Linked DNA regions of Coturnix japonica. The protein of the gene in region 1 purifies or fractionates together with the protein of each later gene. This does not show direct contact. Links are inferred from orthologs where the notes say so. Each region holds a gene or a part of one and is shown in the gene's direction. Other genes may lie near its edges.

Evidence for each region.
Region 2: the proteins of SIN3A (region 1) and ARID4B purify together in Homo sapiens (affinity purification with mass spectrometry; 5 studies listed by BioGRID, with this or other methods). This does not show direct contact. The link is inferred for Coturnix japonica from reciprocal best matches to the Homo sapiens genes SIN3A and ARID4B.
Region 3: the proteins of SIN3A (region 1) and ING2 purify together in Homo sapiens (affinity purification with mass spectrometry; 5 studies listed by BioGRID and IntAct, counting the BioPlex papers as one, with this or other methods). This does not show direct contact. The link is inferred for Coturnix japonica from reciprocal best matches to the Homo sapiens genes SIN3A and ING2.
Region 4: the proteins of SIN3A (region 1) and MTA1 purify together in Homo sapiens (affinity purification with mass spectrometry; 3 studies listed by BioGRID, with this or other methods). This does not show direct contact. The link is inferred for Coturnix japonica from reciprocal best matches to the Homo sapiens genes SIN3A and MTA1.
Region 5: the proteins of SIN3A (region 1) and SMARCC1 purify together in Homo sapiens (affinity purification with western blotting; 3 studies listed by BioGRID, with this or other methods). This does not show direct contact. The link is inferred for Coturnix japonica from reciprocal best matches to the Homo sapiens genes SIN3A and SMARCC1.
Region 6: the proteins of SIN3A (region 1) and SAP130 purify together in Homo sapiens (affinity purification with mass spectrometry; 4 studies listed by BioGRID, with this or other methods). This does not show direct contact. The link is inferred for Coturnix japonica from reciprocal best matches to the Homo sapiens genes SIN3A and SAP130.
Region 7: the proteins of SIN3A (region 1) and SAP30L purify together in Homo sapiens (affinity purification with western blotting; 4 studies listed by BioGRID and IntAct, with this or other methods). This does not show direct contact. The link is inferred for Coturnix japonica from reciprocal best matches to the Homo sapiens genes SIN3A and SAP30L.

The regions. Positions count from the first base shown.
Region 1 is NC_029525.1:1,983,103-1,987,489, reverse strand, and holds the start of SIN3A (paired amphipathic helix protein Sin3a), read left to right. Parts: upstream 1-1,230; 5' UTR 1,231-1,287; coding exon 1,288-1,297; intron 1,298-2,086; exon of another isoform or gene 2,087-2,250; intron 2,251-4,387. Other genes in the region: PTPN9 (tyrosine-protein phosphatase non-receptor type 9), read left to right, coding at 42-192, 266-473, 556-764. UniProt on the Homo sapiens protein: Acts as a transcriptional repressor. Corepressor for REST. Interacts with MXI1 to repress MYC responsive genes and antagonize MYC oncogenic activities. Also interacts with MXD1-MAX heterodimers to repress transcription by tethering SIN3A to DNA.
Region 2 is NC_029518.1:34,299,073-34,303,015, forward strand, and holds part of ARID4B (AT-rich interactive domain-containing protein 4B), read left to right. Parts: intron 1-214; coding exon 215-287; intron 288-803; coding exon 804-898; intron 899-1,870; coding exon 1,871-1,968; intron 1,969-2,182; coding exon 2,183-2,450; intron 2,451-3,358; coding exon 3,359-3,531; intron 3,532-3,943. UniProt on the Homo sapiens protein: Acts as a transcriptional repressor. May function in the assembly and/or enzymatic activity of the Sin3A corepressor complex or in mediating interactions between the complex and other regulatory complexes.
Region 3 is NC_029519.1:35,244,302-35,248,764, reverse strand, and holds the start of ING2 (inhibitor of growth protein 2), read left to right. Parts: upstream 1-1,442; 5' UTR 1,443-1,774; coding exon 1,775-1,973; intron 1,974-3,904; coding exon 3,905-4,463. UniProt on the Homo sapiens protein: Seems to be involved in p53/TP53 activation and p53/TP53-dependent apoptotic pathways, probably by enhancing acetylation of p53/TP53. Component of a mSin3A-like corepressor complex, which is probably involved in deacetylation of nucleosomal histones.
Region 4 is NC_029523.1:3,943,186-3,947,128, reverse strand, and holds part of MTA1 (metastasis-associated protein MTA1), read left to right. Parts: intron 1-126; coding exon 127-244; intron 245-1,758; coding exon 1,759-1,861; intron 1,862-3,943. UniProt on the Homo sapiens protein: Transcriptional coregulator which can act as both a transcriptional corepressor and coactivator. Acts as a component of the histone deacetylase NuRD complex which participates in the remodeling of chromatin.
Region 5 is NC_029517.1:709,687-713,629, forward strand, and holds part of SMARCC1 (SWI/SNF complex subunit SMARCC1), read left to right. Parts: intron 1-429; coding exon 430-499; intron 500-1,393; coding exon 1,394-1,463; intron 1,464-2,460; coding exon 2,461-2,536; intron 2,537-3,943. UniProt on the Homo sapiens protein: Involved in transcriptional activation and repression of select genes by chromatin remodeling (alteration of DNA-nucleosome topology).
Region 6 is NC_029524.1:1,643,640-1,647,582, forward strand, and holds part of SAP130 (histone deacetylase complex subunit SAP130), read left to right. Parts: coding exon 1-30; intron 31-1,197; coding exon 1,198-1,446; intron 1,447-1,574; coding exon 1,575-1,700; intron 1,701-2,527; coding exon 2,528-2,631; intron 2,632-2,868; coding exon of another isoform or gene 2,869-2,961; exon of another isoform or gene 2,962-3,001; intron 3,002-3,311; coding exon 3,312-3,425; exon of another isoform or gene 3,426-3,426; intron 3,427-3,639; coding exon 3,640-3,798; 3' UTR 3,799-3,943. UniProt on the Homo sapiens protein: Acts as a transcriptional repressor. May function in the assembly and/or enzymatic activity of the mSin3A corepressor complex or in mediating interactions between the complex and other regulatory complexes.
Region 7 is NC_029528.1:5,890,413-5,895,065, forward strand, and holds the start of SAP30L (histone deacetylase complex subunit SAP30L), read left to right. Parts: upstream 1-1,617; 5' UTR 1,618-1,937; coding exon 1,938-2,123; intron 2,124-4,016; coding exon 4,017-4,139; intron 4,140-4,653.

The DNA.
Region 1 (4,387 bases):
GGGAAGAACATTATCCCCGTGTCACCTTGTCTCATCCGCAGGCTGGAGGAGGGGGGCAGGAGGAAGTGCGGCCAGTACTGGCCCCTGGAGAAGGATTTCCAGATGCGCTTTGGGGCGCTGACCATCACCAACCTGGGCGTGGAGAACCTCAGCCATTACAAGAAAACCATCTTAGAGCTCCACAGTGCCGAGGTGTGTGCTAAGGTTATGTGCTAAGGTTGTGGCGGGGCTATCCCATCCCACTGACCACCCCACTCACCCTTAGGGCAAGGAGCGGCGGTTGCTCTCTCACTTCCAATACCTGAGCTGGCCGGATTACGGCGTGCCCTCATCGGCAGCAACACTCATTGACTTCTTGGGGGCTGTGAAGCAGCAGCAGCGTGTGGCTGTCAGTGCGTTGGGACCACGCTTCAAGGGGCACCCGGGGGGTCCTCCGCTTGTGGTCCACTGCAGCGCCGGCATCGGCAGGACGGGTAAGGAGTCCAGCACAGTCCAGCACAGGGGGGGTGTTGCATTGCATTGTGTTGGCTGAGCGTTGCTTGCCTTCATCCCCAGGTACTTTGTGTGCGTTGGACATCTGCCTATCGCAGCTGCAGGATGTGGGTACTCTGGACATCCAGCAGACGGTGCAGCGGATGAGGACACAGAGAGCATTCAGCATCCAGACCCCGGAGCAGTATTACTTCTGCTATAGCGCAGTGCTGGAGCACGCCCAGCGCCGCGGCCTGCTGCCTGCCGCCCACAAGGGCTCGGCCGGGCACTGACACAGCCCTGCCAGCTGGGAACTGTGCCTTAACTTCAAGCAAGCCGGGGCAGGAGGGACAAAAAGAAAAGGAGGGGGGGTGGGTTGGGATGGTTTATTTTCTTATGATTTTTATTCCTTTTTGGTCTGTTTGTTCGTTTCTCGGTGGGACCATCTAGACTGTACGCAGAACAGCCCTGAAGGATGGGGGGGGGGGGGTTGTGTTCCCAGCGCAAGCTGCTGCATCGGGAACTTTATACTGTAATAAGCTCTTGGAATGTGTATATTCTTATTTTTTTATAATCCCGGAGCGTGGGGGAGGAGCTTTTTGGGGGTGTTTTTGTTGGTTTTTTTTTTCCCCTGTGGTATTTAACATTAAGCGAGCAAACCGAAGAGCGATCTCACCTCCGAGCTGCTTTCTCGTCGCTCCTCCCCACATCAGCCCCCCGAGGGCGGTCCGGCGGTGACGAACGGCCTCGTAGGGCCAATGGGCCCCGGGGGGAGTTCCCGTTTCCATTCAGGACGCCTCGCTGCGCGCTCAGGGTATGTCACAGGGTATGTCACAGCGCTGCCCGCCCAGCGGGCCCCTCATGTGGGGTGTGATGGGATGGGAAGGCCCGGGGAGCTCTGAGGGGGGAGGAAGCGAGGCGCGCTCCCGCGCTTTTCCCGCCCGCCCAACGGTCGCCGCGGGAGCGCGCACGAGTGGGGGGGGAGCGCGGCTGTGTGTGTGTGTGTGTGTATGTGAGTGTGTATATGTGTGTGTGTATGTGTGTGTGTATATGTGTGTGTATGTGTGTGTGTGTGTGTGAGGGGAGGGGGTGGGGAGCGCCCGCTCCGCCGCCGTGCGGTCCCGCCCCCCGCGGCCATTGGCTGCTGGCTGTGTTCCCCCCCCCACGTGCTGGCTCCCGGAAGTGGTGTGGGGTCGGTGGGACAAAGGCGGCGTGGCGGTGCGTGCCGGTCCCGCGCGGTCGGTGCCGCCGCCATCACGGCCCGGTCCGCCCCGATGTAAACATCCACAAAAGGGCTCCCCGGAGAGGGGGCGTGGCTTTATACCCCCCCGCGACGTGACGGCGGAGCGGTCCGCCGCGCTGATTGGTTGCTTCCTCAGCCCGCCGCCCAATGGGAAGGCTGCGGGGGCGGGAGGGGGCGGGGCTTGCCGGCCGTACGGACATTTTTCTCGGGTCTCGCTCCCCCCTCCCCTTCCTCTCCACATCCCCTTCCTGGCGGCCGCGGCCAATGGGGGCGGGCGGAGGGGGCGGGCCGAGCGAGGCGATTGGGCCGCGCGCTGAGCGACGCGTGGCTCGACCAATCGCGAGGCGGGTCTCCCCCCTCCCTGCGGCGGGGAGGGGCGGGATTTCCCGGGGAACAGAGAAGCGGGCAGCGTTCCGCCGCGGCGGCCGAGCGGCGGTTACACACATCGGCGCCCCGAGCCTCCCCCGCGGGCCGAGCGCGGGGCTCAGCGCAGCGCCGGGACGGAGCGAGACTCCGCCGGGCACCGCCGCCTCCAGGTGAGGGGAAAGGCGGCATCGGGGGGACGCGGCGCCGTGAGGGGCTGAGGGGGGGGGAGCAGCCATCCGGCGGGGCGGGGCAGGGCAGGGCCCGGTACCGCGCTGAGCCCTGAGTGTGTGAGTGTGAGTGTGTACGTGTGTGTGTGTGTGTGTGTGTGTGTGCGGGGGGAGCCCGGCATGGCGGGAGCGGCGGGCGGGGCGAGCGGCGCTGGGCGCGCTGCGGGACGGAGCCTCCCGCGTGTGTGTGTGTGTGTGTGCGGGGGGAGCCCGGCATGGCGGGAGCGGCGGGCGGGGCGAGCGGCGCTGGGCGCGCTGCGGGACGGAGCCTCCCGCCCATCGCGCCGCCCACTACGCGGGGCCGCCTCAGCCCCGCCCCGCCCCGCCCCGCCCGGCTCAGCTCGGCCCAGCAGCGCTGCCCTCACGGCTCCTGCTTCCTGCTTTGGAGGCTCCTCTGGCGCTTCCAAGCGAGCACGAGGAGCCTGTGCTGATTCAAAGCACCTGTAGGATCCTGCTCCCACACAGCATCACAGCATGACCCGGGTCGGAAGGGACCTCGAGGATCACGTAGTTCCAACCCCACAGCACGGCGTTAGGAACAGCCCCACTCCTTTCCTCCCCACCCCCCCAGCTGAGGGGCAGCGTGAGTAAAGCTGGGGCTGAAGCAGGGAGAGCGGCCAGAGGGCACCCAGCCCTTCCTCTTACACAGGTCCCTTCCAAGCCCAACTTATGCATGGTCACTGTGTCCAATGGGGGCATAGAAACCTTCAGCACGCCCAGCGAGGTGGTACATAAATAAGAACGTGATCCCGTTGCGTTTAAGCCATGCACAGAGCGCTGCTGTGTACGGGTGCTGGAAGACATAGCTCACGCTGTGCTCATGGCCACCAGTCTGCTGTGAGCTTGTCGGAAAGGCATAACCATGACAGGAGTGAGTTGCTCACCTTCCTAGCATGTATGAGCCATACATACTGGGAAGCCATCGTGGCTGGTGAAGCCAACACAGTTCTATGGCTGCTGTTCCATGCTGCAGGGCTATGGGTGCACTCTCGGTGCTGTGCTGCTTTCTCCCAGCTCCCCTGGCTCTGCTGTCACAGAGTGGCTGCAGGTACTGCTCTCATTCTGCCTGCATGTGAGAAGGGAGACCATAGGTAAGGATGCCAAGGCTCGAGGAGAACCCACATGGCAGGGCATACCACGAGCAAGCAGCCAGGATGTCACCTCTCTGATCCTGAGCCACTCATGGGCTGCTTCCAAGCTTTGGGTCCTTTCCACCTTAAGAGCAAACCATCCTCACTCTACACAGCTCAGTCCAGGTACTAACGCTTAAAATTCAATGTGACAGCAACGTTGCTGCTAATGTGAGGATCTGTGAGTTTGGGGTGTCCTTCCAGCCTGCTCAGGCAGCAGGTGACATGCAAAAGTGTCCCTCTGCTTGGGATTTGTCCTCATCTCTGGCTCTTAGTGGCATCAGAGCTCCTCTCTAGAGGTTCATATTCACAAGGTGCCTGTAGCTGGCATTCTGCAGCCTCCTAAGGGCTTTAAAGCAGCTCCTGCAAATCTTAGATGCTTGACCGGCAGCTGTGCTGTTCCCCTGTTTCAGGAGTGTCTCGGGTTTGCATCTGCAAGGTCTGAAATCTCTCTTGTGGGGTTGGGTTTCACAACTTGTTCTTGAAAGCATCATTTGTGTGTGCAGAAGTGTTGTGGCTCCAACAGGTGTCACGCAGCAGACCTGCACTATTCACTGCTCTCCTGCAAGGGGAGAACTTACAGCCCAGGAAAAGGAAAGTGAAAAAGCTTTTATCCTCCTGTGGAGGGGTGTATTCCTGTAAGGAGATGCTCTGATTGAAGTTAAAAGATAGATTGGTGCTGGGAGGGAGGGGATGCAGGTCCATGTGGTCTCTATAGAGTGGAGCTTGCTCTGTAAAGCCATTGCTGAGCATATAGATGGATGCTCTTATTGGAGGACAGTACCTAAAGTTTGTGGCTTGCTCTCAGTCTCACCCAGACCATGCTGTATTTCGCAGTCTTTATTTTTCCCTCCCCAATTAAGCATCGCAGATGATGCAATTTGAATTGGGGCTTTCTAAATGCTTTGAGTCAAAGTCCGCATGGAGAATGCTGCCCATCATAGGGCTGT
Region 2 (3,943 bases), on another chromosome or scaffold:
ACAGTTATTGCCTTACGTAAGTTGAAAATGTGTGCTATATAAAACTCCACGTGACATAGCATTGAGGCCAATTTTGTTTGTATAGTTTCTTGTTCCTGACTGCAGTAAAAACAAACTTAAACTTTTGAACCTAAGTGATTTTCTTATTGACAACCTGTAACTCACAAGGGTAAAATGTTTGTGTGCTTTTTTTTTTTTTTTTTTCCTTGAACAGGAGGAACTAGAGCCTTTTCCTGAAGAAAGGGAGAACTTTCTTCAGCAATTATACAAGTTCATGGAAGACAGAGGTACACATTTCCGTGTTTGACTTGTTAGATTTAGAGGTATTGCTTAGCAGTGCTTCAAAGACCTGAGTCTGTGAACTAGTAATACTGTACGGTTTATTTTTGGAAACAGTGAGACTGTATCCCACATGTCTGGCTTCCCATCCTCTCAGAAGATGAGTCTGTCTGTTAACTCTGCCCCTCAGCAGGAATAGGCTGGTTCTTTTAGAGGCAGTTTTTTTTCAGTGGGTGAAATAGAAATGTTTATATAAGAAGCAAGAGAAGTTGCATCGTTTGTGCATACTTGTTAATATATCGAATAATGCAAATGTATGAATTTATTTGTATTAATGAACTACAGGCAAAATGGCTTATTAAACCTCATGAGTTTTAGTTTTCACAAAAAATAAATAGTAGATGCACCAGATGGTCAGAAAATTTACCGTACTATTTAATGGTGTAGTAGCATATGTGGAGTAGATTTCATGTTGCTCTCAAAAAGATATTTCAAAACACAGTAATAACTGTCTGTCTTTACAGGGACTCCTATTAACAAACGACCTGTACTAGGATATAGAAATTTGAATCTGTTCAAATTATTCAGACTTGTACATAAGCTTGGAGGATTTGATAATGTGAGTATTACTGATCTATAAAGTCTAAGGGTGGTGTTTTTCCTTAATAAAGAATAAAGTATTGTGTAGCAGCTCCAGATATTAAAACTGAATTCTACCAGAAACTAGTTATATTTTAAATAAATTGTCTACTGAGTGTGTTATTACTGCAGCATAAAATCAGTGTGTTTCTGTGAGATTTCAAGAAACGTCTGTCTAATAAAATCGTTACCCTGAAGTGAAAAGTGTTGCTGCTCAGTGAAATCCCAAAGGCAAGTAACTGTAAGTTCAAGTTGGTTGTGAGGCACTTAACTCCTACCTATTCTGGGCAATATATAGAGGAACATGCTGACAGGAATTCATCTTGGTGCAGTAGTTGATGCATAGGGAATTCTTAGTCAAGTAGATTCTGTTACTGCTTTGAGCTACTTCTCGTAAATCTAGCCTGTCAGCTGAGAAGGTTGGTTTGTGCTGTGCCGCCTTTCTACTATAGAAGGGAGGATCTTGTACTTAGTATCACAGTAGATCTCTTTTACCTTCACAGATGGTGAGAAATGAGCATGTCACACTGTCACAAAGCTTTGACACCAAAGGGTGCGTTAAAGATATACAGTAGCTACCAGTCTTAGATTATCTGGTGCAGTGCTGCAGGGATGTAGTATTATTAATACTTTGAGGTTTTTTCTTTTCAATTTAATTAAAATTCTAGATGTGATATTTCAGGAATTATTTTAACTGTGCTGATCTTTGTATTTTTTCCCCCTTTATTACCACCTAGAGAGAAAGGCCAGCTGTGGCTTACTGAAGTGCAGAAATGCTAAATTGCAACAAGTAGTTACACTAGACTACAGTTTGCATTACAAAGTAGAGTGTACAATAAATAGAGATTTTGTAGAGAGAATTAAATACTATTGTATGAAATTGTAGATGTTGTCAGCTTGGTCTTCTGTATGTCAGTTAATTCAGCAGCCATTGTTACATTTGCTTTAACAGATTGAAAGTGGAGCAGTGTGGAAACAAGTTTATCAAGATCTTGGAATCCCTGTATTGAATTCAGCTGCAGGATACAATGTTAAATGTGCATACAAAAAGTAAGTAATAAAGCCACACAGTTTATGCTAAAACAGCACTAAAAAGAAATAGAGTTCTTGTGATAGTGGTGGCAATATACATAAATTCTATAAGTTTGGTTGTAATGCAGTCTTTGTAAGCTTTAAAATATATTTCTTCTATTAAGCTTCTGCTAGGTAACACAATTTTTCTTCAAAAAAAACTTGTTTATCAGAAGTGTGGTTTTTTTTTTAGATATCTCTATGGCTTTGAAGAGTACTGTACATCAGCAAATATTGAATTTCAAATGGCATTACCAGAGAAAGTGACAAGCAAGCCTTGTAAAGACTGTGAAAAAGAAAAAGATTTAAAGATGCGTGAAGATCCAGAGCAGGATGTAAAAGAAATAAAAGCGGATAAGGAGGAGCGCAAGCAGGAGGAAGTAGTGGCAGTACAACAAGAAGAAAAAAAGCTAGCTGAGAATGATAATGAAAGTAAAGAAAATGATAAGCCCGTGCTTCTGGTAAAATATTTTAATGTTCATGTTATATCCTGTTGATAAAGGCAGATAATGTGTTGATAACTATGAGTTTGTATTAAGACAAATCTCTGTAATTGATTTAAAACTAGACAAATAACATGCTGTAGATTAGTTTTGAGCAATATTTGTCTCTTCAGTGTCTGTCTTAGAGGTTCATGGTGTCAAAGTCTTTGAATTGGCAGGAAGCAGATGAAGCTTTCCACCTGTTTGGGGCACTCTTGAGTCAAATGGGGACTGATTAGCATGCAGCTGTATTGTGATCTGGATAATGCATGCTTACAACTATCTTCACTGCTGATACTTCTATTTTGTATTGAGCTAGGCTTTTAAGCCCTCCCAGGTTCTAGAGAGATATGGTGTATGCAGTGGCATAATTATTTCACTAATCCAGAGAGACAAATCTTTTTACCTTTTCAAAACTCAATACTGGCCCAGTGGTTTTAGAAAAGGAGAACTGAGGTGGTAAGCTGAGCAGTGAAGGTACAGCAGTTTGCTCTGGAAGTGGTGTAGTTCTTCAAGTCAATATGCAACTTAGCTGTGATGTATGCAAGTGGCACCAGCCCTGGCCTGTCTGCTGCTACTAACTCCACAGTGACCGTTAATGCTGGTGTTTCTGCATACTGAGCGCAGACATATCCTGTGAACTGTTTTAAGAGTTGTGTGCTAATGTTGCTGTAGTAAAACCTAGGAGATTGGATTCAACCAAGGACTACTGTATGTGTGCTGAGAATTTCAAACATAAAACCAGTGGAAATGCTGTAGTTTTAGAAAGAGCCCTAGAATCTAGTGCTTTCTTTTTCCCTTCACAATAACTTGTGCATTTTGTTCTTCTGAAATCCTCTGAATTCTTATTTTTTCTTGTAAATTAACTGAAGGTTTTATTGTCTTAGGGGAACAAAAAAAATTTACCAGATTCAGTGTATACGCAGCCTGACCAAGAAAAGGACTTGAATGTAATCAAAACTGAAGATGAAATCAAATTAGAAGATAAAGAAGAGGAAAAGATTAAAGAAATGGAAAATCCTACCATAAATGCAGAGGCTGACGAAAAAGACAAATCAGGGTAAGTTACTCTGTTTGTAATCAGATAAGGCATCTGATGTGTGCTCATTAACTTTACTCTTGTCTGATTTGAAGTTCAAATTACCTCCCTGCTGTGATTAGGCTCCTGTTTTCTGGAGATCTGTGTGCTGCTCTTTCTCATGGTTAGTGCTGCTGAAGTTAGTGAGTCTAATTAAAAATATGTAACCATTTTTATAAAGCTTTATGTAAGGCTTTTAAAAGATCCAGGCCAAAATATTTGCAAGCTTAGCAAGCAGCAGAATGTATAAATCTCACTTAAGACAAAAATATTGCAAATATTATGAGTAGAATAGTATTGTCTATTTAACTTGGTTGCTAGATTTTGTTGTTGGACAGTAACATGGGAAGAGAGAAATACCTCACATAATTTAGTAACAACTTTATGTTTATTT
Region 3 (4,463 bases), on another chromosome or scaffold:
CACGCACGGAGGACACTTGGTTCCTCGAGGGCGCAGTGCCCGCCTAGGGGAAAGTCCCCGGACCGCAGGCAGAGAGTGCCACGCGCCGCGGGCGCCCGCCCCGCCCCGCAGCCCACGTGACGCCGCCGAGACGCCTCCGGGCCGAGCGGGTGAGCGCGGGGCGGGCCATCGTCACGGGCACAGACACGCAGGTAGTGCCGAGCGACCCGGCAGCCGGGCCGCAGCACCAACAGAACGGGGCTCACTCTCAGGCCATCCCGTTTTGTGGCTCAACTTTATCCGCGTCGGCTGCTCCGCCAAGAGTGAAAGGCTGCATCCAAAGCTGTGTGAGGCCAGCGTCAATGCAGGTACATGGTGTGCGCGGAGATGCTGCCCTTATTTTGACAAGTCTAACCCAAATCCTTACCGAGTCTATAACAAATGGCACATCCGTAGCTGGTAACTGTAGGCGCCTAATTACCCCATTTCAGCATACGGAATGGAATTCAATTTGCCGACATCTGTGACAATAGACCTGCGCTCCCTTGTAGTCAGTGGAGACATTTTTAGGGCAAGAATTGCAGTGAGTTACTCCCACCTTTATTTCCCTGCGTGGGAAGGAAAACATCCTCACACGTGACAGTGTTACGAATTCCTTAAGCCAGGCTTCCATCAGGTGACTGGTGTCATTTCAAACGCGTGAACTCAATTATCTCATGGCTTTATTCACTATCCTTCAAGATGTTTTTCATAGCACAGCAGTAATTAACTGTGGCACTAGGTGTTACATCAGCATAGAGTAACTCGGCGTGTTGAGAAATTCTTGAATGCGTCCTGGTAATTAACTCTTAACAGTCTTAATTAATAGCCTGCAGTCTGGATCTACCTGATAGGTGCAGCTGTGTCACGGGGCTATCAGGCTGCAGCACACAGTCTGTAATTAACGCTGTATCTTGCTTTACTCCTACGCTGCATGGCAGGAATCTGTTTCTCAGCTCTGTTTCCTCACAGAACCGCGACCATTCAGACTCATCGCTGCCCTTCACGTTCCGACCCTCCGCTAGCTCTGCCCACCCCCCTGTTTCCGTTCCTTTCCACGCTGCTGACTCGGGCCATTACTCCACACCTCGGCATAGCGCCGTGCCGGGACAGCCGGGCAGCACGAGCCGAGAGCCAAGGCTGAGAGCAGCCGGCTGACGAACGGATCCGCGCCTCCAACGCCCCCACAACCGCCGCCCGCCCACACGCGGCGCTGCCGGGGCACCTGGGGCGATCCTCCGCCTCACGGCCGTCCGTGCGCCCGCCGCCACGGCAGGTGCCCCCGGCAGGGAGCGGCCCCGCCACGCTCCCCGCGGAGTCGGCGCCCGGCCGTCAGCGGGGGGAGGAGCAGGGTGCGTGTGCCTTTAAGGGAGGCTCCGCCCCTGCGCTATATCCCGCCCCCCCGCCCTTCGGGCCAATAGGAGCGCGCGAGAGGGGAAGGCGGGAGAATGCGAACCCCTGGCGGCGCCTCTAGCCGCGCCTTATAAGGGCAGGGCCTCGCGCATGCGCGTAGCCAGGCGACCAGGGGCGGGGGCTCCAAGTGGGTTTCGCTGTGGCGGCGGCCGTTCCGCCGGGCGCTGAGCGGGACCCGAGGCGGGCGGCTCGGTCCGGGTGGGTCGGTCCGGCCCGGCGGTGCGCCGGTCCCGCGGCATTGAGCGGTCCGGCCGCTCGCGGGTAGAGGGGCGGCAGGCGGCAGGAGGCGGCAGAGCGGAGCGGGCCGGGCGGGGGCTGCCCCGTGAGCCGGTGCCGGCGGTGGATGTGCGGCTGGAGCGGCTGCAGCGGGGGGATGATGCTGGCGGGGCCGCAGCTGGTGGCGGGGCCGGCGGCGCCGGGCGGGGAGCGGGCCCGGCTGCTGTCGCTGTACGTGCAGGAATACCTGGAGTGCGTGGAGTCGCTGCCGCTGGACATCCAGCGCAACGTGTCGCTGCTGCGGGAGGTGGACACCCGCTGCCAAGGTGGGTCCGGGGCTCGGCCTCCTCCGCGGGGCAGCGGGAGGGAGGGACCGACCGGAGGGGAGGGGAGGGCGGCGCGGGGTGGGGGGGAGGCGGCCGCCCGCCGCACATGCGCTGGGCGCGGGGCTCCGGGCTGCGGCGTTAGGCCCCGGCCTCCCCGCTCAGCTTGAAATCCGGCGGGGGGTGGAAGGGGAAGCGCCGAGCAGGCAGGGCTGTCGCCTGTGAGCACGAGGTGTGCCCGGGGCTGCGGGGCCGTTACGAGCCCTGTGCTCCGCCCCGCCATGGGGGCCGTGCCCGCCGGGGGCACACGGGGCGGTCAGGATGGAGTGCTGGTGCCTGCAGGATTTGCACAGCTGCTCCGTGCTGACAGCGTTGGAACTCTCTTTTCTCAGCTCCACCAAACTCAAGCAGATGAACTGTAATGGACGCTTGGTCCTGGTCTGTTTTTCTTAGCCTCCTTTTTAAGCAGAGGTTTTAAAGCTGTCTAGCTGGACACGGGTACCTCCTCTAATTAATAAGGGGTTAATAAGGAAGTACTTCAGTGAACCTGTCGCTCTGTCACTACACATTTTCTAGTCTTTCTAGTTGTTCAGACTACAGAGTGCCTTACTCGGCACTTCTCAGAGCAAATATTTTATCCTGTCAAGGCAACAGATGCAGCTGAAAGCTGTAGGAAAGCGAAACCTGTGTTTTCAGTGACAGCTGGAGTACTGGCACTGTGAGTTATTAGATGGGCAGAGCACTGACTTCATCTTCCTCTGGTGAAGGTCTGCAGTAGAACAAAGTGCTGCTGGTTACTGTTTCCATACAGATTTCAGTATTTATAGTAAAAAGTGACCGTTCCCTCTTAAGGTGCTGTTTCAGGATGTCAGCAGGAAAAGAAATCACTGTGAGCAACGCTGAGATAATAACCGTGGCTTCCATTTAGCGCGAGCTTGAATCATTCTAAAACTGCACAAAGCGTTTAATTTAAAAATGAAAGGCAGCCTATAAACAGAGCTGTGCAGGATGAGAGATTGTTCCGTGTCCATTCTGGTTGTGGAATCAGTTGAGTATCGTTCATAAATTCGCTTACCCGTTACAGACCTGTAAGTTAGTTGTGAAGGGATCGGTGCTGTATCGAGCACCCCGTCACATCTCGCTGTCAGCTCCACTGATTTAGTTCCTTCTGCTTCAGCAGTTCCTCTGTCTTTCTTGTGTAGATGTAGTGTCGCTTTCCGTCTGGAAAATAGTATTTTAAAATCCATCAAAAGGGAAAATGTGGAGGACAAGTTCTGCCTCAATGTAACACACAACTGGATGTAACTTCTTGGTACAACCAGCACCACTTGGAGTGGTTTAAGTTGTCTTAGATCCTGATTGTACATCTGTTAATATGTAGCTTCCACTGTGGTACTTTGTTGTAACTAAGGGCTGTTGAAAAGGTAGTGCTAAACCCTCGTGTATAGAAAGGAGGAGGCAGAGGACCTGCATATCCTAATTTTGGATTGTAATGTGATGGTTACACGATTATAGTGAATTCTGAGATTCTTCCTATGGTATGAGAAGCTTTGGTTTGTAGGCCAGGGCTTTGTAACTACTCTAATATGGAACCTCAGCAAAAAAATCCTGCTTTGTCAGATGCTGAGTCAGAATTTGGACCATTCTGGCTTTGGCAGCAGCGTTCACCTTTCTGGGCTTACCCTTCCCTTTATCCAGTGCTCAAAAGCATCTTGCTTTTTCTTAGAACTTGAGAAGCTTTTTATGCAGTGGATTACCACCTTAAACACTGACTTGATGCTCAGGTGTAACTTGAATTAAATACCTGATGTAGCCCACTGGGGTATACTGTAATTAAAACTTGTACTGTTTCACGTCCGTTTGAACGTGCTCAACAAAATACAGATATGTACCTTCTATCTCGTGTAATTATTCGTACTGTGTTTGTTTTGTAGAAGCTTTAAAAGAAATAGACGATGTCTATGAAAAATACAAGTCTGAGAACGATCCCGTTCAGAAGAAACGCCTGCAGCAGCATCTCCAGCGTGCTTTAATCAACAGTCAAGAACTGGGAGATGAAAAAATTCAGATAGTTACTCAGATGCTGGAACTGGTAGAGAACAGAGCCCGACAGATGGAAACTCACTCTCAGTGTTTTCAAGACCTGTCTGAGAACGACAAGCCTCTAGAAAAGGCAAAGATGGAGTCCTGCCAGCCGGAGAGATCTTCACGTAGACCCCGTCGGCAGCGGACCAGTGAAAGCCGCGACCTGTGCCACATAGCAAACGGGATCGACGACTGCGACGATCAGCCACCGAAAGAGAAGAGATCCAAATCTTCCAAGAAGAAAAAACGCTCCAAAGCCAAACAAGAGAGAGAGGTTTCACCCGTGGAATTTGCGATTGATCCCAATGAACCGACTTACTGCTTATGTAACCAGGTGTCTTACGGAGAAATGATAGGATGTGATAACGAACAGTGTCCTATTGAGTGGTTCCACTTCTCGTGTGTTGG
Region 4 (3,943 bases), on another chromosome or scaffold:
TAATTTGTTTTTACTTGCTATGGGTAGACTGGGTGAGCAAATTAGCATAAAAGCTTTCTACTATATATAATATGGTAAAAATGTAAGCTAGTAATACTTTATTTTCTGTTTTTGTTCTATTTTTAGGATTTCTTCTTCTATTCACTAGTGTACGATCCTCAACAAAAGACTCTACTTGCTGATAAAGGAGAAATCCGAGTTGGAAACAGATACCAGGCAGATATAACAGACTTATTAAAAGAGGGTAATTTCCATAATTTAAGTTGTCAGGAGGCCATGTGGAATGCAGCCACTTTTATGTATGCAGCCTGTGTGGGAGACAGAGGTTCCTACCACCACGTCCTGTGTGCATCACTGCTTTGGTTTGTTAGGGACTGAAGCAGTTGCCCACTGCATGCAATTAGTTGTGTCTCAGCCCAGGCTCTAAGCGGGCATTTGTCCAAATCATAAAAGTTGTTGAAACAAATTGAATTAATTGCCTCTCTCAGAGCTTGCGCTCATTTTAGGAGATTTCAGAATTTCTATGGGAAGCACAGATTTCCATCGCATCTGTATAGCCTTTGTGTTTTTAATCGAGCCTCGCTTCCCTGTGAGAGCCGCTCCCAAATTATTGCCAATTAAATGCTGTCTCCCCACATCAATTTGCCCATTATTGCTGGATGCCTTTTCCTCAGAGCCCCCTGCCTGTCTGCTGCTCTTGGCTTCCAGCCTAGACTTCTCACCTGCAGAACAAGCAGGAGGAATTTGCTGCCTTGAGCACGTTGTGAGACCTCAGCCTGCCCTGCTCATGAAGCAGAAGGAACACAAGGACACATGCTCAGGAAAATGGGCTGTTAGTTAACAGATACCAGCTTCACACTGGTTCTTGCACTGCAATGGGTGGAAGAGCTCTTCTCTGAGACCTGTGTAGGGCTCAGGCCAATCTGTTGATGCTCTCAGAGAGCTGGTGTTATGAGCCATGTTGAAAGGGGCTCTACAAAACTCCCCAGGCAGAGAGGTGAAAGCAGTGAGGCACCTCAGTCTGCTTCAGAGCTTTGCAGATGCATAAAACAGATACTGTTGGGCTAATGTTAGAATAAGCCAACAAATTGGTTGGGACTCTTGTTTAATTTGTCTGTGGCATTTATTTGGCAGCTGGGCTGGCCTCCTAAGTGAGGATGAACTAATTTGAAAGGCATTCTCCTCCTTCAGCCATCAACATGGGAATTCAGAGAAGGATAATCTCCAGATGTTTCAAAAGGGGTTTGAAATTAAAAAGAGAGACTCAGCTCCTGTATTTTTTCCAAGATATTTTGGTTTGTTTAGCATTGGGAGAGTAGAAGTAAAAGAATCTGATGCTATGATTTGCCCCTTAGAAAGCAGCTGCTGCAAACAGGGCCAGCTACCCTTTGTCTGCTCAGAGCAGCTGGGAGTGTGCCTGCTTTCCTGGAACTGCGGCCAGGTAGAGGAGAAGGAGAGAGAATCAGGGGAGGAGGCTGAAGAGAGGAGGCTGTTTGGGGGAAGGACGTGCTCTGTTTCCCATCACTTGTGCCATTAGATATCAGCTCTTCAGCATCCGGTGGCCTAATTTGGATGAGTTGGGTTGATGCATCTGTCAAGCTGAAATTGTCTCAGCCAAATGGATGAATGAAATTTTCACTGTCAAGGCAGAGTATCTGAGTTGATTTGGTGGTTAAATAATTGTGAGATAAGAAACCAGGCAAGTAATTTTATTTCCAAACAGCCACGCTGAGCGTTTCTAACATGTTTTTCAACCAGGTGAGGATGATGGAAGAGATCAGTCAAAACTTGAAACAAAAGTTTGGGAAGCCTTCAACCCACTAGTAGACAAGCAGATAGACCAGTTCTTGGTGGTAGCACGGTAAGAGCAATTTATCACTTCTTTGAATAAGGTTTTAGTAACTCATCTTTTCTAAGCACTTTATTTTTGGTGTGTTCTTTATACTTTACTGGTACGAATGCTGGTTTGGTTGCTTGATTCATGTGTTTCATTTTGAAATGATGGACGTGTTAACATGCCTTCCTGGGAACTGCATGACTTTGTGAACAGCTACTTGGATTTACAGCTTTTACTTTCAAAAAGTTAATCATTTTCTTCTATCTTATGTGAAAATGATCCTGTATCTGGTGAGGTTTTCCAAGTTCTTTGGCCAGCAGTGAGCTGAATTCCTGACAGTTCATTAGAGTCCACTTTGTCCCTTTTTTCAAATCCAGCCACGTTTCAACATGCGATGATAGTTAAGTTGTAATAGTTAAAAGCGAAGATGTTGGAATCTAGGCACTAGAAAACAGGTAGAACGAATAAAGTAAATCCCTGCAAATGAGTACAGATGAGGAGTGGATGAGTACAGATGAGGAGTGGTGAGTTTTATGCTTCTACTTAAACGCAAGGCGGTCTGTCCATCAGTGTTTGCTTTATAAAATGCTTGTGACCCTTTTCAGTGTTGTTTGTTTATATGAACAGAAGCTGATACTAAAAGTTAATGTCTACAATTAAACAAGGAGGTAGTGCTCTCCAAACTGTCTCCTGGGTAAGTTTTTAAGACTGCGGAAGCATGGGAGGAAAGCAGTGTGAGTAGTAGATGGTTAGTTAGACCATCTATAGTCAGTGGAGCAAGTTGCTATTAGATATGGGGAGGAAGGGGGTGTGTTTTCCCCCCCCTCACTCCGCACACACATCTTGAGTTACCACACTGCTGAACTTTCCTCTTGAATTTTCTTGGGTGTGGTATTGCTGTGTCTATAGTGGGTTAGTTAATGGGGTGTCTCCTGAGGAGATAACATGAGAGCTCATGTGGAAGAAACTGTCTGGAACGGACTCTTAATTCTGATTGGAGCTGTTGAATGATGCAAAAAGAATGCATTTATGAAACAATAATAAATGCTTTCAACGCGTTGAATGATACAGACTTAGGAAAATACTAGGGGGAAAGAAAAGGGCAGAGTTAAGGAGAATTGAGTTAAAATGTGGAGATTTAAGTGTGCAAGACAAGAAGTTTCTGTGCTCCATAAGTAGTGCCTCCTCTTTATTTCTATGGAAACTGCAACAGATACAAAGAGCACAATAACGCTGTTTGGTAGAGCAAATTCTCAGCTGCAAAATGCTGTTTTTCAGCATAGTCACCACCATTAGCTATGCATTTTTTCCAGCAATGAACAAGAGCCTGTGTGTCACGCTCATAGAAATCTGCAGCAGCAGTGGTGACCCACTGTTTCACAGCTGCTACGATGGTGGTGTTGCTAGGAAAAAAGCGCCTGTGCAGCCCATCTTTCATCAGCCCAAATAGATGGAAATCAGAAGGTACCAAATCTGGACTATATGGTGGGTGTGGTAGGACAGTCCAGCCAAGACTGGCAGTGTGCTCCACTGTCTTCAAACTGGTATGGGGCCTGGCTTAAGGCTGTCATCTTCTCTGACCTGACTGTGGATATTTGAGCCTTCAGCTTAGTCAGCATGGTGATGTAGCAGTCAGAGCTGATGGTATGTCTGGCTTTCTGGAAATCCAGAAGGATCACCTATGTCGTGTCCTACAAGGCAGTGCACTTTACGTGCTGAGAGCTGCATCTTCAACTTTTTCTTCTATGGGAGATTGACATGTTGCCATTCCATGGGCTGCTGTTTTGACTCCAGCTTTTACACACCACATCTCATTGCTGGTCATTATGCTGTCCAGGAAACTGTCAGTTCTGTATTAGTTCAGTAGGTCCTGATAAACTTGCATATGGTGTTCTTTCTGTTGGCCTCTGGCATTGTGAGCTAACGTAATAGAATAGGAGACATTACTTTTGGAGCAGCCCTTGTGCTTAAACAGATGCGCATAAGGAAATGGCTGAAAGCAGGGAGAAGAATCTCTATCGGTGATGCAGGAGAAGAGATGGAGAAAGCTGGAATATCTCCAGCAAAGGACTCCTGCTGCTTTTGGGGCCCTTCAATAAAGAGCTC
Region 5 (3,943 bases), on another chromosome or scaffold:
TCTCAGCCTTAACTGCATAGCTGTTCTTGAGTTACTCATAGCTCTTGAGCTGACCCCAGGTGCTGGCTGTTGCTGAGATGAGGGTTAATGCTCTGCAGTCTGCTCCTGAAGTCCTTACTGTTCCTCGTGGTGATTTCCTTTATGAGTGTTGATTTCTTAAGAAGCAGCAGAACGATACTTTAGGACCTTGAAAACAGGTGATGAGCAAGGTTAGCATTTGTACCTGTGTGCCACCACCTGGTTACGCTTCCAGACATATTCAGTTTGGCAGAGGCAGGAAGCAAGGCCTGACATTTTGCTTATATATGCTGCCATGAGCCTTCAGTGTTTCTGGGTTGTGTGGGATATGGGGTTAAAAGGAAACAATTGGTATTTGGGGGAATGAGGTTGTTGCTCACTTGATGTCTTTTCCCTCCATCTTTCCCACAGGGAACAGTAACTGAGGAGAAATCCAAGGCCACCCACCACGTGTATCCAAGTCCTACCTCAATGGATGATGGTAAAGATGCTTTCCTATTTGGAAGTGGAAATAATTTTGTAACTAAATTCTTTTGGCACCTATAGGAGATTTCGCACAGGCACTGAATGATCTTAACCTGCTCCTGGGATCTCCTGTAAAGCAATTTTAGGATTAAAACTCCAGATAGAATTGCTGTGCTCTGCTTCTAACCACCAGGTTTAACACAGCGTCACAGAATGGCCTGGGTTGGAAGGGACCCCAAGGATCACAAAGCTCCAACCTCCAGCAGGCAGGGCCACCAAACTCCCCATTTCATAGCAGCCCAGGCTGCCCAGGGCCCCATCCAACCTGGCCAAAAAGAGCTCTGATGTATTTCTATGTTAAACAGCAGGTCCTTGCTGGTGCTCTGCCATTGCCAACTGTTCCTGGTATGCCCTGGCATCCCAGCTCCACTAGAGGGAAGTATTCACTTCCACATTGGGATGATGGAGGACCCTTTGTCTATTGGTGCTTTTCTGTGTGTTCTGTGCTTCCTGGAATACATGTCTAGCCACAGGTTTGCGTTGCTGTAACCACTGCTCCAGGGTCTGGGCAAGGGTTGCATGTGTTTCAGGCTCTGTTAGTCAGCAGCGGGTTGGGGTATGGATGTGTACAGCCAGGGAGGGAAAGGCAATCACTGTTTGCATTAAGATGATTTTCCTAATGTAATAGCTGTGATTTATACAAGCTGAGCACATGAATGTTTATTCATGACAGCAAAGTGATTGCAGGCAACTGTATTGTTGTTGTGGGTCAGGACACTGTAATTTCACTGCGATATACTTAATCAGAGATAACTGCAGTGGCTTTCCTATGCTTGACTATAGCAAAGCAGAATAATGTGCTATCTACTTTGCAGTCTGAATCTGATCCAGATCTCTTTTCCCTTTGCAGATGAATGGTTGAGACCCGTGATGAAAAAAGACAAGCAGGTGCTGGTGCACTGGGGCTTCTTTCCAGACAGGTAAATCAAGGGGGGGAGGAAAGCACACCTCAAGTCTCAAGTTAGTTAAAAGCAAAGGGCTGCTTAGAACTTGCCATTAGGTCAGTCCGTGTCCTCAGACAAGCTGCTCCTTCAGCTTACCAAGTTTGACCTTTCCTGATAGCCATGCTCTGCCCTCAGTGCCTGCATGGAGGGTGTCCCAGCTGTGCAGCTGCTCTCATCTCTTGTTGTGCAGAGCAGTGGGCACGGATGTGTTCTCCTGTGCCCTACACATGTTTCAGCAGGAGAGAGCAAGCAATGTCATGCTTAAGCATCTTTCTTTGTACTGGTGAACTGTTAAATATTTCTCTATCATATGACCAAGGGTGTGTGTGCTGTATAGGTGTGTCTCTAAAGAGGTTTATAAATACCAGTATAAGCATAAAAAAGCTGCTGCACACATATTTTCTGAAGGATGGCTTTTCCAGCTGCTCAGTGCCTGAGGGGTCACCAGGGAGTTTGGTCTTGAGTGCAGTTTCTTAATATTAGCTATTAGATTTATGAGGGGAATAAGTGCCTTAATAATGACTGGGTTGTGCAGCTGTAGGGATTGGAGAAGGGGATGCATTCGTTTTTCTCCTAAGAGTGTGGGTATCTCTTACTTTAAATCCTTAAGAGACAATTAACTTACTAAGAGGGTTTGCACGAGTGACTCCACGTGAGCTGCAGCCCTGACTCCAGAGGCTAAATGTGCACTTCCCAGCAGGAGGAAGCATTGCTGAGATGGGATCTGCGATCAGAAAGTGAACAATGTGCCCTGATGCCTCAGCACCCCCCTTCTCAGAGTGCCTTGTTCCCACAGCAGGAGCCAATGATGGCTCCTTTGTTTGCCTTTCATTGAGTGGAAAATAATTCACCGTTCCATCCCAGCGGTGTGATTTGCAGATGTCAGAGTTGCTGAATAAATATTCCTGCTGGTGATCTCTGTGGATGAGCAGCCCAGGGGACCAATTTTGTTTTCTCTGCCTCTTCTCATTAGCTACGACACTTGGGTTCATGCCAATGAAATAGATGCTGAAATTGAGGATCCTCCGATTCCTGAAAAGCCGTGGAAGGTGAGTCTGCCTGGAAGAGCTTCCCAGAGTCGCTGTATTGGTAGAACCCATCTGTGGGTGTGACTGGTAGATGTTTTAATGTGCTGCTGACTATCAGTGGCTGTATTTCCATATGTATGGAAAAGGAAAGTGCTGTTCCTAGAGCTGTAATGAAAACACCCAACACCCTTCTTTGGTCTGAGGGGGGCACTGTGAGGAAACGCCCCTTGTGGGCCATGAGGGCAGATGAATGCATCCCTCATAATGCTAAAATGACCATCTTCGTTCTGGCCTGACTTGCAGGGTTTTGTGTTAAAGGTATTTCCTTCCTCTGCTGCTGAGATGGAGCTGTCTCTGGGAGGAGCTCTGACTGCTCATTACTGGGGTGTAATTCGTTAAGGAGTGGGGATGGGGATAATACCATATCTATGTGATGTTCTTCTGAAGGATGCTGCGATAGAAGAGAACCATCCAGTTGGGGGCCCAAGGTTGCTTCACACGTAGTACAGGATTTAAAGCACTTCTTTGTGTGTCCAGAAAGTTCATACATGGAAGTGACCAGAAGGAGTAGGAGGTGGATCATTTGGAAAGGGGCTTCTTTAGGAAACAAACCTCTGGTGCAAATAGAACCTTGTTGTTGTGGCAGCTTTATTTGTAGTAGTTTCAGGTACTGGCAGCAGAGCGGGGCTGGATGGGCTCCCCGTGCCCTCATCCCACCCTGCTGGTTTCCCTTGGCTCAGCACTGCTGGCAATGCTGCCTCTTACTCCTGTTGGTTCTTGCTGTGACCGAGTGTGCCACGAGCCCTGGTACTGCTGCAGGCAGCACAGCTGTGGGCACGCAGCTGTCCTGGGAGTGAGAGCCCGAATGGGAACCTCTGAGATGACAGCAGCTGCTTCAAGAGCCCCTGAGGGCCACAGCTCACATTGCTCTGCAGCAGTGTTTGCTTAATGGGCAGCTCTGCTCGTAGCTGACATCGCAGGGATGGAAGAAGTCATTTTGATTTGCTTCACTGCAAGAGGACAATACAAAGCAGTCACAAACAGCAGTAAATACTACTTAGCGTCCTATTATTGGACTTACTCTTTTATGCATCACATGCAGTGTTGTTCTGTATCTGTGCTGTTAATGTGAATAGCAGAGTTAGGAAAGGGCAGCTCAGGTCAGAAAATAACTCCATGTGATGCCTGTTCAGACACTCCCTATTCCAAACTGCTGCTTGTAAGTAAATGGGACTTAAGCTTTTTGTGTATAAATCAATCTGTGTCATACTTGCTGGATTCTGGGAGGAATTTCGGTGTCTGAAGTGTGCTTTTAATGCAGAGCCATTGCCCCAGCTGTGAGAGCTGACCTCACACTTGAGATGACTTAAAATGACAGAGGAGCAGACATGGCATTCAGCAGGCTTACAGCACGTCCAGCCTGTATAG
Region 6 (3,943 bases), on another chromosome or scaffold:
AACCTATGGACATAATGCGACCGGTATCTGGTAGGTGGTTTTTGAAGCATCAAGGTGTTTCTCTTGTTGAGAAAGTGGATAAATTAGGATTTCAACACAAGCAACCTGAAAATGGAATGACTTCTCTTTCACAGTAGCACAGAAAATAAGTCAAGGAGTTCCTTCACGCCTCACTTTCTTATAGTTCTGATCCCTGCCTACTGCTTTTCAATATAGAACAAGGGACTTGGTTTTGTGACATGACTGAGGTATGACATGCTATATGAGCACAGTATGAAGTCTTAATGGCCCAGTAAATAAAATGGAAAGCAACGATTCAGGTTAAGCTGACACAAGTTAGTAACTCCTAGAAGGAAAGGGCATTGCAGCGTCTGAGAGGGTTCCTGTCTCAGGTACTAAGAACCGCAGAACAGCAACTAGGTGAGCATCTCTAGGTTCTAATTTGCCTTGTTCTCCTTGATCTCCTGTGGAAACCACTTGGGGTTGGAGCTGCTTTCTTCATTTTCAAACAGTCCAGTTGCAAAGAGTGTATGAATTGCATGCTTAGAACACAGTCAGCAGCAGAGCCAGTATAATACAAACCAGTGCAGTTAATCTCAATTGAGATTTCATCCCAGACATTTGCTGTGTATTACGTGGCACGCTTGGTTCAGTCCCTGCAAATGTAAAGGGTTATTTTCCCCTCAGGCTCCCGCTGCTGTGCTGCCAAGCTCCAGCAGTCTGTTGGTTTGTACAGCAGCCTGCTGACACTGGCTGTTGACTTGGCAGTATAAGTGCACTGACAAGGAGAGCACTGCAGTCATGGTTTGACTACATCTGCCTCTACCTGCACTGAAGAGGGGACTTGCCTGTTTTTGATTGTGATCTGTGGTGAAACATCAATTCAAAGATGTTTTCTTTACTGACCATGTGAGAGATATTAGCACAGGTTCCTTTTCAATAGCATTCAACTGCTGCAAGCCTTGAAGGTGAAGGAACTGAGTGAGAACAGTCTCTTGTCATTTTTTGTTCTGAGGATCTTAGAATACAGGCATTGTCCTAGTGATGAGTCCTGGTTCTCATATACTAAGGGATGAACTGCATCTGTGGTGGAGCCCATGTTTCTCACAACGCACTGAGAGGAGATGGTGTTAAAACACAGTACTGCTACCTCTGTGCCACTGGTAGTTGAGGTTCTTCTCCTTTCTCTCCTTCCAGCAGTCCCTCCATTGACTACAAGTACTGTCTCTCCATCTTTGGCACTGCTGGCCAACAACCTTTCGATGCCTCCAAGTGATTTGCCGCCTGGTGCCTCCCCAAGGAAAAAACCCCGTAAGCAGCAGCACGTCATCTCCACAGAGGAGGGAGACATGATGGAAACAAACAGCACTGATGATGAGAAATCTACTGCCAAAAGCTTGCTGGTGAAGGCAGAGAAGCGCAAGTCTCCTCCCAAGGAATATATAGGTAATGCCATCTCTGACACTCTTCTCCTACTTGAACATCTGTGTTTTACCTGTTGCCTGTCACGATTGCTGCCGTGCTGGTCTCCCATGTCACAATAGTAACACAGCTGTCTGTGATCCCTTTTGTAGATGAGGAAGGTGTGAGGTATGTCCCGGTGCGTCCCAGGCCTCCCATCACATTGCTCCGCCACTACCGCAATCCTTGGAAAGCCGCCTACCACCACTTCCAGAGATACAGCGACGTCAGAGTGAAAGGTCAGTGTGCTGCCTGAGGAGCTGCATGGGCTGATGATGATGATGATAAGCTGCCCCACAAGCAGGCTTTGCTCACAGTATGGAACACAAGCGTTGGTCACTCACGTGAGCTAATGACTTAGTTAGCTAGATGTTGCTTAGATCTTTTCTCTCTCAAGACTGAGAAGAAAAGGGGAGGATCTTCTATAGAGTCAGATACAATTCTAACTGTCTGGTTAACCGAAAATGTTATGTTACTGAGAAATGTATTTATGTACAAGGATAGAAACTGCCTAAAGAAATTCCTAAATAGATTATATAGCGGTAGGCTATGGCTTGGCACTCAGATTGCCTTACTACCTAACAGTGCTGCCAATGTAATCAAAAGCGTTCCCTATTTAATGAGTCTCGTGAGCTAACAGATGGGCCTGGTGCGTTTCTATGGGATGTTTCTGATAGTAAGAGGAAAACTGAGATCAGGTTCTGTGATTTGGACTTTGTGGCTGGTAGGAAGGAGCAGATAGGTATTGCAGCAGTGTGAGATGGACTGCTTGCTTCTTCATGTACAGTGTTGGAAGCAACACCTCGTTTTAGAGGAAGAAAGGGAAAATCAACATTGCAAACAATAAAAAATGATCTGAAAATGCAGATGAGCCATTGGGGGGTGAGAGCAGCCTTCAGGTAACGTGGCAGATGAGTCGTTATGTTCCTGTCCCAATCAAAGTGTTGCTGACTCTTCCTTAAGCAGGATGTGTGGAAAGCAGGAGCTGGGTTAAAGCTTTTGTTTGAGAACAGAGGCCTGGTGGACTCCTGAAACTTGAACCTCTATTTGTGTTTTTTGGTGACAGAAGAGAAGAAAGCCATGCTGCAGGAGATTGCCAGTCAGAAGGGTGTATCCTGCCGTGCACAAGGGTGGAAGGTCCATCTGTGTGCGGCGCAGCTGCTGCAGTTGGTAGGTGCATGGGACGTGCCGGCTGCCTGTACCGCGGGGAACACGGAGCTCTGTAAGGCAGGATGTTATCACAAACTCAGTACATGCTCACCTGATGCAGGGATGCCATAAGCTGGTGTGTAGCGCCCAAAGGGAGTGGGACACGCTTTTCCCCTTTCTCAGGAATGTGGCGTTAAGTGGCTTGGAAACTTAGTGTTGGTTTTGATCCAGACATAAGAGCTGATGTATTTTGTACAGATGATCAAAATTGGCAACTCCCTCCTGCTGATGCACAGGTCTGAAGAAGCGTCTGTTTGGGATGGTGCGGCTGATCTGAGGAGGCAGCACTGATCCACATTCCTGGATGCTTCTGTTTCAGGTTGGGGGTGAGGTAGGTGCTCTGCATTCTAGCACCAAACTCCCCAAAACCTCTGCATTCCTGGAATAGTATTGTGAGAGACAGGGGAAACAGTTCTGGCTAGGTTCCATGTTTGTTCAGAAGTGGAGCAATGCTGTGAATAGGATGTTTAGTAAGAACAATAATGCCACACTCAGCATCAGAGGCTCCATCTTCTGAATGACTAACATGAGCAGCTGAGAGGGGAACAGACGATTGTCTTCTCTGTGTAGATTTCATAATGTGGGCAGATGTTTTATGGGCCCGGTGGTGAACCTGCTCATGAAGTGCTGTTGTCTTGTAGACAAACCTGGAGCGTGACGTGTATGAGAGACTGACGGCCTTACAGGAGGGGCTCATTCCTAAGAAGAAGGCAGCAACTGACGATGACCTGCATCGAATCAATGAGCTGATACAGGTAGGCTCCTACTGGCCCCTAAGCTCAGAAGAACTCTTCTACCTTTAGTAATTGCAGCAGGATGTTTTCCAAGTAAGTGCTGAATCTGGCTTTAAAAATAACACAATAATAAAGGTGCTTCTCCTGCGTCATTGGTTAGTGGGGGCTTTATACAGTAAAGGTGTTTGTTGTGACTGTTTATTCTGCTGTTGGTGACGATAACGTTTTATTTCAGGGCAATATGCAGAGATGTAAACTCGTGATGGATCAAATCAACGAGGCGAGAGACTCGATGCTGAAGGTGTTGGATCACAAGGATCGTGTTCTGAAGCTTCTGAACAAGAACGGAACTGTCAAGAAAGTATCCAAATTAAAGCGGAAGGAGAAGGTCTGAAGCCAGAATAATGACTCTGGAAATGGAGGACGTGTACAGGACGGAGTTACGACCTTTTGTAGTTTGAGTTTATTTTTAAGCAGAGCATCTGAATAAAAAACAAAAGGATGAGTTTAGAGAACAGATGGCAACAGATGGACGTGTG
Region 7 (4,653 bases), on another chromosome or scaffold:
GGGGCAGAACATGCCTATAGCTGTGGGACTTTAAGCACCACAGCAATGCCACCTGCAACTCAGTATATGCCATCACAGAAACAGTGATGAGAGTGAGAATCTGGGTGCTGTGTTTCCATGGGCTTCCAACACAGAGAAAATGGGAACAATCTGATTTCTGACTGGAGGTGAAAAAAAAGGCCATCTCGGGACATCTTTTGCAGCACATACTCTTTGGAGAATAGTATTTCTGCCTCAAGAACCGTGAATGATGCCATTAGAACAGCAACTTCCAGCTGACAGCTATGCTGCAGACCTATCTTTAGAAGGTAGAGCTGTTCCAGGTAAGATTTAAGGGCCTGTGCATGTTCCCTTAATTTCATTAGAGGCTGACTCGGATGAGCAGGCTATCGCTGCTTCAAAGGCACTAAAGCTGCCTCGGTGCTGATGGGTGTATGAAACATTGTTTCTCACTTCATTGCAGCTCCCACAAAGAATTATTAGATCAGGTTAGTGATAGATACCTAATAAAGAACGGCTCTGCGAAGCAGTTTATTTTACAGCCAGCAAGTTCTGGTCTAGCAGACTGTGAAATCTTCAGGTTCCCGTGAGGATAAATATGCTGAAATAGACTGCAGTTATATGAAGACCTCCACCTGCTTTTTTTTTCTGAGAGACTGGAAGGATGTGTCACTGTATTACCCTGAGCTGGAAGTAGCTGGCATTGAAATAGCAAACAGAAGCAAGAGGAACATTTATTTTCCCCCTTAATAGATATTTCAAGGCAACTTGGGAATAAAAAGAAGGAAGTGCACTAAGACTGAGCCCTGCCCTCAGTATTTATCCTGAGACACACTTGGTGATGCAAGGGCTGCTTGGAACGTGTGTATTTTAGTGCTTTTTGGCTGTCTGAGAGGCCACAAGCATTGATGTTGCTGTCTGTATTTCACATGGGTAACTTCAGCACAGCTCAGCCTGCTCTGAAGTGCATCTTTTCACATGTATGTTCCATGTGTACGAGCTCAGACCTTGCAGCAATACATTATCCTATATCACACTGTTCCTCTGTGTCTGAGTTCCCTGTGTATGAGCTCAGACCTTGCAGCAATACATTATCCTATAGCACGCTGCTTCTCTCCTTGTACAACACGTCTTCTCCTCAGCCAGATGAGCTGATTTTGCTCTTCCCATTGGCAGCAATATGTACTGCCTGCAGTCCCGCAGCTGACAGCACATCCTAAGGTGATTTACCAACATTTCCCTCTCAGTTGTGTAATTAGAAACGATATTTATTCAACACTATCCCCTCAGGGTCGGGTGCTGCTTGGAGCGTGTCTGAAGGAGCTCATAACGAGGGCAGCAATGCACGTTCACCCCCAGATTTGCTTTTCCTTGTTTTTGCTGTGTTTTGTGGCGGTGTTTCATTAGCACGGAGCAGCCTGTGGGTGCTGTGTGGGGTGGCGGTGCCGGCTGTGTGTGGAGGCCGCTGTTTCTCTCTACCGCGGTGCCCTGGCAACGACGCCCGCCCCCATCCCGGCCTTCCGGCCGCCGTGTGAGAGCGGAGGAGAGGAGGAGCCTGTGTGTATGGGCAGACAGACGGCAGCGCCTCCCAATAGGATCACACAGCGGCACTGCTCTGCCCCGCCGTGTCTGCAGGCGGGGAGCGGGACTTCCGCCGCCGGGGAGGCGGTTTTGTGTGTGAGAGCTTTGCGAGCGGGGTCCCGGCTTTACCCGAGGGGCAGCGGAGCTTCTCGGCTCGTTGCGGGCACCGATAGGAGCGAGAGGCGGCGGCTCCTTCCTGAACCGCTTTGGGGCATCACCCATCAGGGGGTCCCTGCGGGCGTGGGGGGCCCCCGCGGGCAGCAGCGGGGTCCCCCCGAGGGCCGCTCGCTGAGGGCGGCGGCTCCGTCCGCGGCTGTCGGCTCCGCGCTCGGGGCCGAGGGGCGGGTGGGTGGGCGATGAATGGGTTCAGCACCGAGGAGGACAGCCGGGACGGGCCGCCCGCAGCCCCATTCTACGGTCAGAGCTGCTGCCTCATCGACGACGGAGATCGCTGTGTGCGGCCCGCGGGCAACGCGTCCTTCAGCAAGAGGATCCAGAAGAGCATCTCGCAGAAGAAGCTCAAGCTGGACATCGATAAAAGCGTGAGTCGCGGCCTCCTGCCTGACACGGGGTGCCCCGGGGGCTGGGGGCGAAGCACATCCAGCTCTTGGCAGTAGGGCACGGGATGCCCTGCCGTAACACTGCGGCGGATTGAGGGACGTGGTGCAGAGGGGAGAGCAGCAGGGGTTGTTTAGGATGTGTTCAGAGCAGGGCTACAAAGCTGGTGAGGGGTCTGGAGCACAGGCCATATGAAGAGAGGCTGAGGGAGCTGGGATTGTTCAGCCTGGAGAAGAGGAGGCTCAGGGGAGACCTTATTGCTCTCTATAACTTCCTGAAGGGGGGTTGTAGTGAGCTGGGGGTTGGCCTCTTCTCTCGTGTAATCAGTGATAGAACTAGACGGAATGGTTTTAAGCTGCGCCAGGGGAGATTCAGGCTGGACATTAGGAAGTATTACTTTTCAGAAAGAGTAGTCAGGCATTGGAATGCACTGCCCAGGGAGGTGGTGGAGTCACCGACCATGGGAGTGTTCAAGAAACGCTTGGATGTGGTGCTGAGGAATATGATTTAGCCTGGAAGTATTGGGAATGGTCCTTAAGGTCCCTTCCAGCCCGTGCCGTCTGTTTGACGATTCAATGAGTGCAGCACTGGAGCGGATCACTTAAAAATAACCCATTGCATCAAACTCAGAATGTGAGGTGCCTTTTAAATAGAGCGCTTGCACATGTGTTGGCTGCTTGGCACCGAGCGGCTTGGTTCGCTGCTGGCTGCTTTGTGCCACCAAGTGACAGCTGTCAGCTCAAGATAGAAACGGGCAGAGGACGCACAGAGCAGAGAATGCACAGAGCAGAGAATGCACAGAGCAGAGAATGCACAGAGCAGAGAATGCATAGAGCAGAGAATGCACAGAGCAGAGAATGCATAGAGCAGAGCAGCGGTGGGAACTGCAGAGGGCATTTCTCAGAAGTGAGACTGTTGCCGGAAGTCTGCTCTGCCTGTTGTTCTTATCTGATCTCAGATCGAAAGCACTGAGAAAAATAAAGAAGGCGAAGTTCCGAGTCCTTCGGTTTGGCAGCTTCTTCTGTTGGCTGTGTCCCTTTTACGCAGCCAAGATACAGAAAGTGATGGGAAGAAGGGGAGTAAATTTGAACTCTCTGGGGTTTTAGGGATGAAATCTTGTTTCTGCTGGTCTCTGTGCCGTGGGTTTGTGTGCTGCTGCAGTCACTTCATTCTAGGAAGTAAGTCTTCATTGCCAGGTTAGAGGCTTCAGATATAAAAAGAAGGAATCGGATTAATGGAGTGTATGAAGTGTGCTGCATGAAGGCATTTTGAATGCAGGGCGTGTGCATCACTTGGAGATATTCGTATTTTATTGCTATCAAATAGTTTTGATCACTCGTGGTCCTTTTTTGTGCTGGTTCTAGTGAGATAATCCCAGTTAAAATATGGGGCATCTGTGACAAGGAAAGCTACAGCAAAGGGATGCTTTTGCTGTTGGTTTGCCTTTTAATTGAGCTAAATAGCCAACTTCTGTTTTGTCTAAATTGATCATCTCACATTCTGCTCGAACCAGAAAGTTCGCAAGTCTGGAACAGAGCAACATTTCTCTTGGTAGCGCCCTGACAGTAATTCCTAAAGCAGATGCATTTCCTCCAGACAGCACACTGTTTTTTTCTTCTGACATGTGATTACACCCATAAAAAAGAAATATGTTATCTGCAAAGGTTCGGCTGCAGCCCTCGAGTCCTTCATTTTCCTTGTTTTTAGTGTTCGTAGTGCAGGTAATCTTTCATGCCTGGGCTTTAAGATTAGAAATGTCTTAATGTTAGTCACGAGGCAGTAAGCAGGTACTCTGTAATACAGCTGCTTGAGTGGATGCCATTTTTACACTGCCTGTTTTCATTGTATTGTTTTTCTTTATCACTTCTGCTTTTTAGGTGAGACATCTGTACATATGTGATTTTCACAAGAACTTTATTCAAAGTGTCCGAAACAAACGGAAAAGGAAAACAAGTGATGATGGAGGAGACTCTCCTGAGCATGAGACGGACGTCCCGGAGGTCAGTAGCTACCGGTTGTAGCTTCTTTACATTGTACATCTTTACATTCTTTACATTGGTTGTAGATTCTTTACCAGTTTGGAACATGGTGAAATTTCACTTGGATATTTTCAGCACCACCAAAACTACTGTGAAGTTGCCCTGATTTTTTTTTATTTCCAAGACTCAGCTGTTGTGTGATATCCTGGTTTTCTTCATCATCCCCATAGGAATTCTCCGACCGTGTAAAGCTTTCTATAAAAAGAGGTATAATAATGTGACTGCACAGCTTAGTGTATGTACCATTTCCAAACAGGGAGCTGCTGGGTTACTTTACCTTTTTTAGATAAGAAAACATTGCTTCCTTTTTTTGAAGCTAATCAACTCATGTATTTACAGAGGGGACTGTGCTCCCAATGTGGTTCTTAGTTCAAAGGCTCTGGAACATCAGATCAACCTCTGTATGACTGGTGACAACCAGAGACATTGGGCTTCTGCAGACCTTTGCATGTCATACTTCTAGCTTAAAATTGCA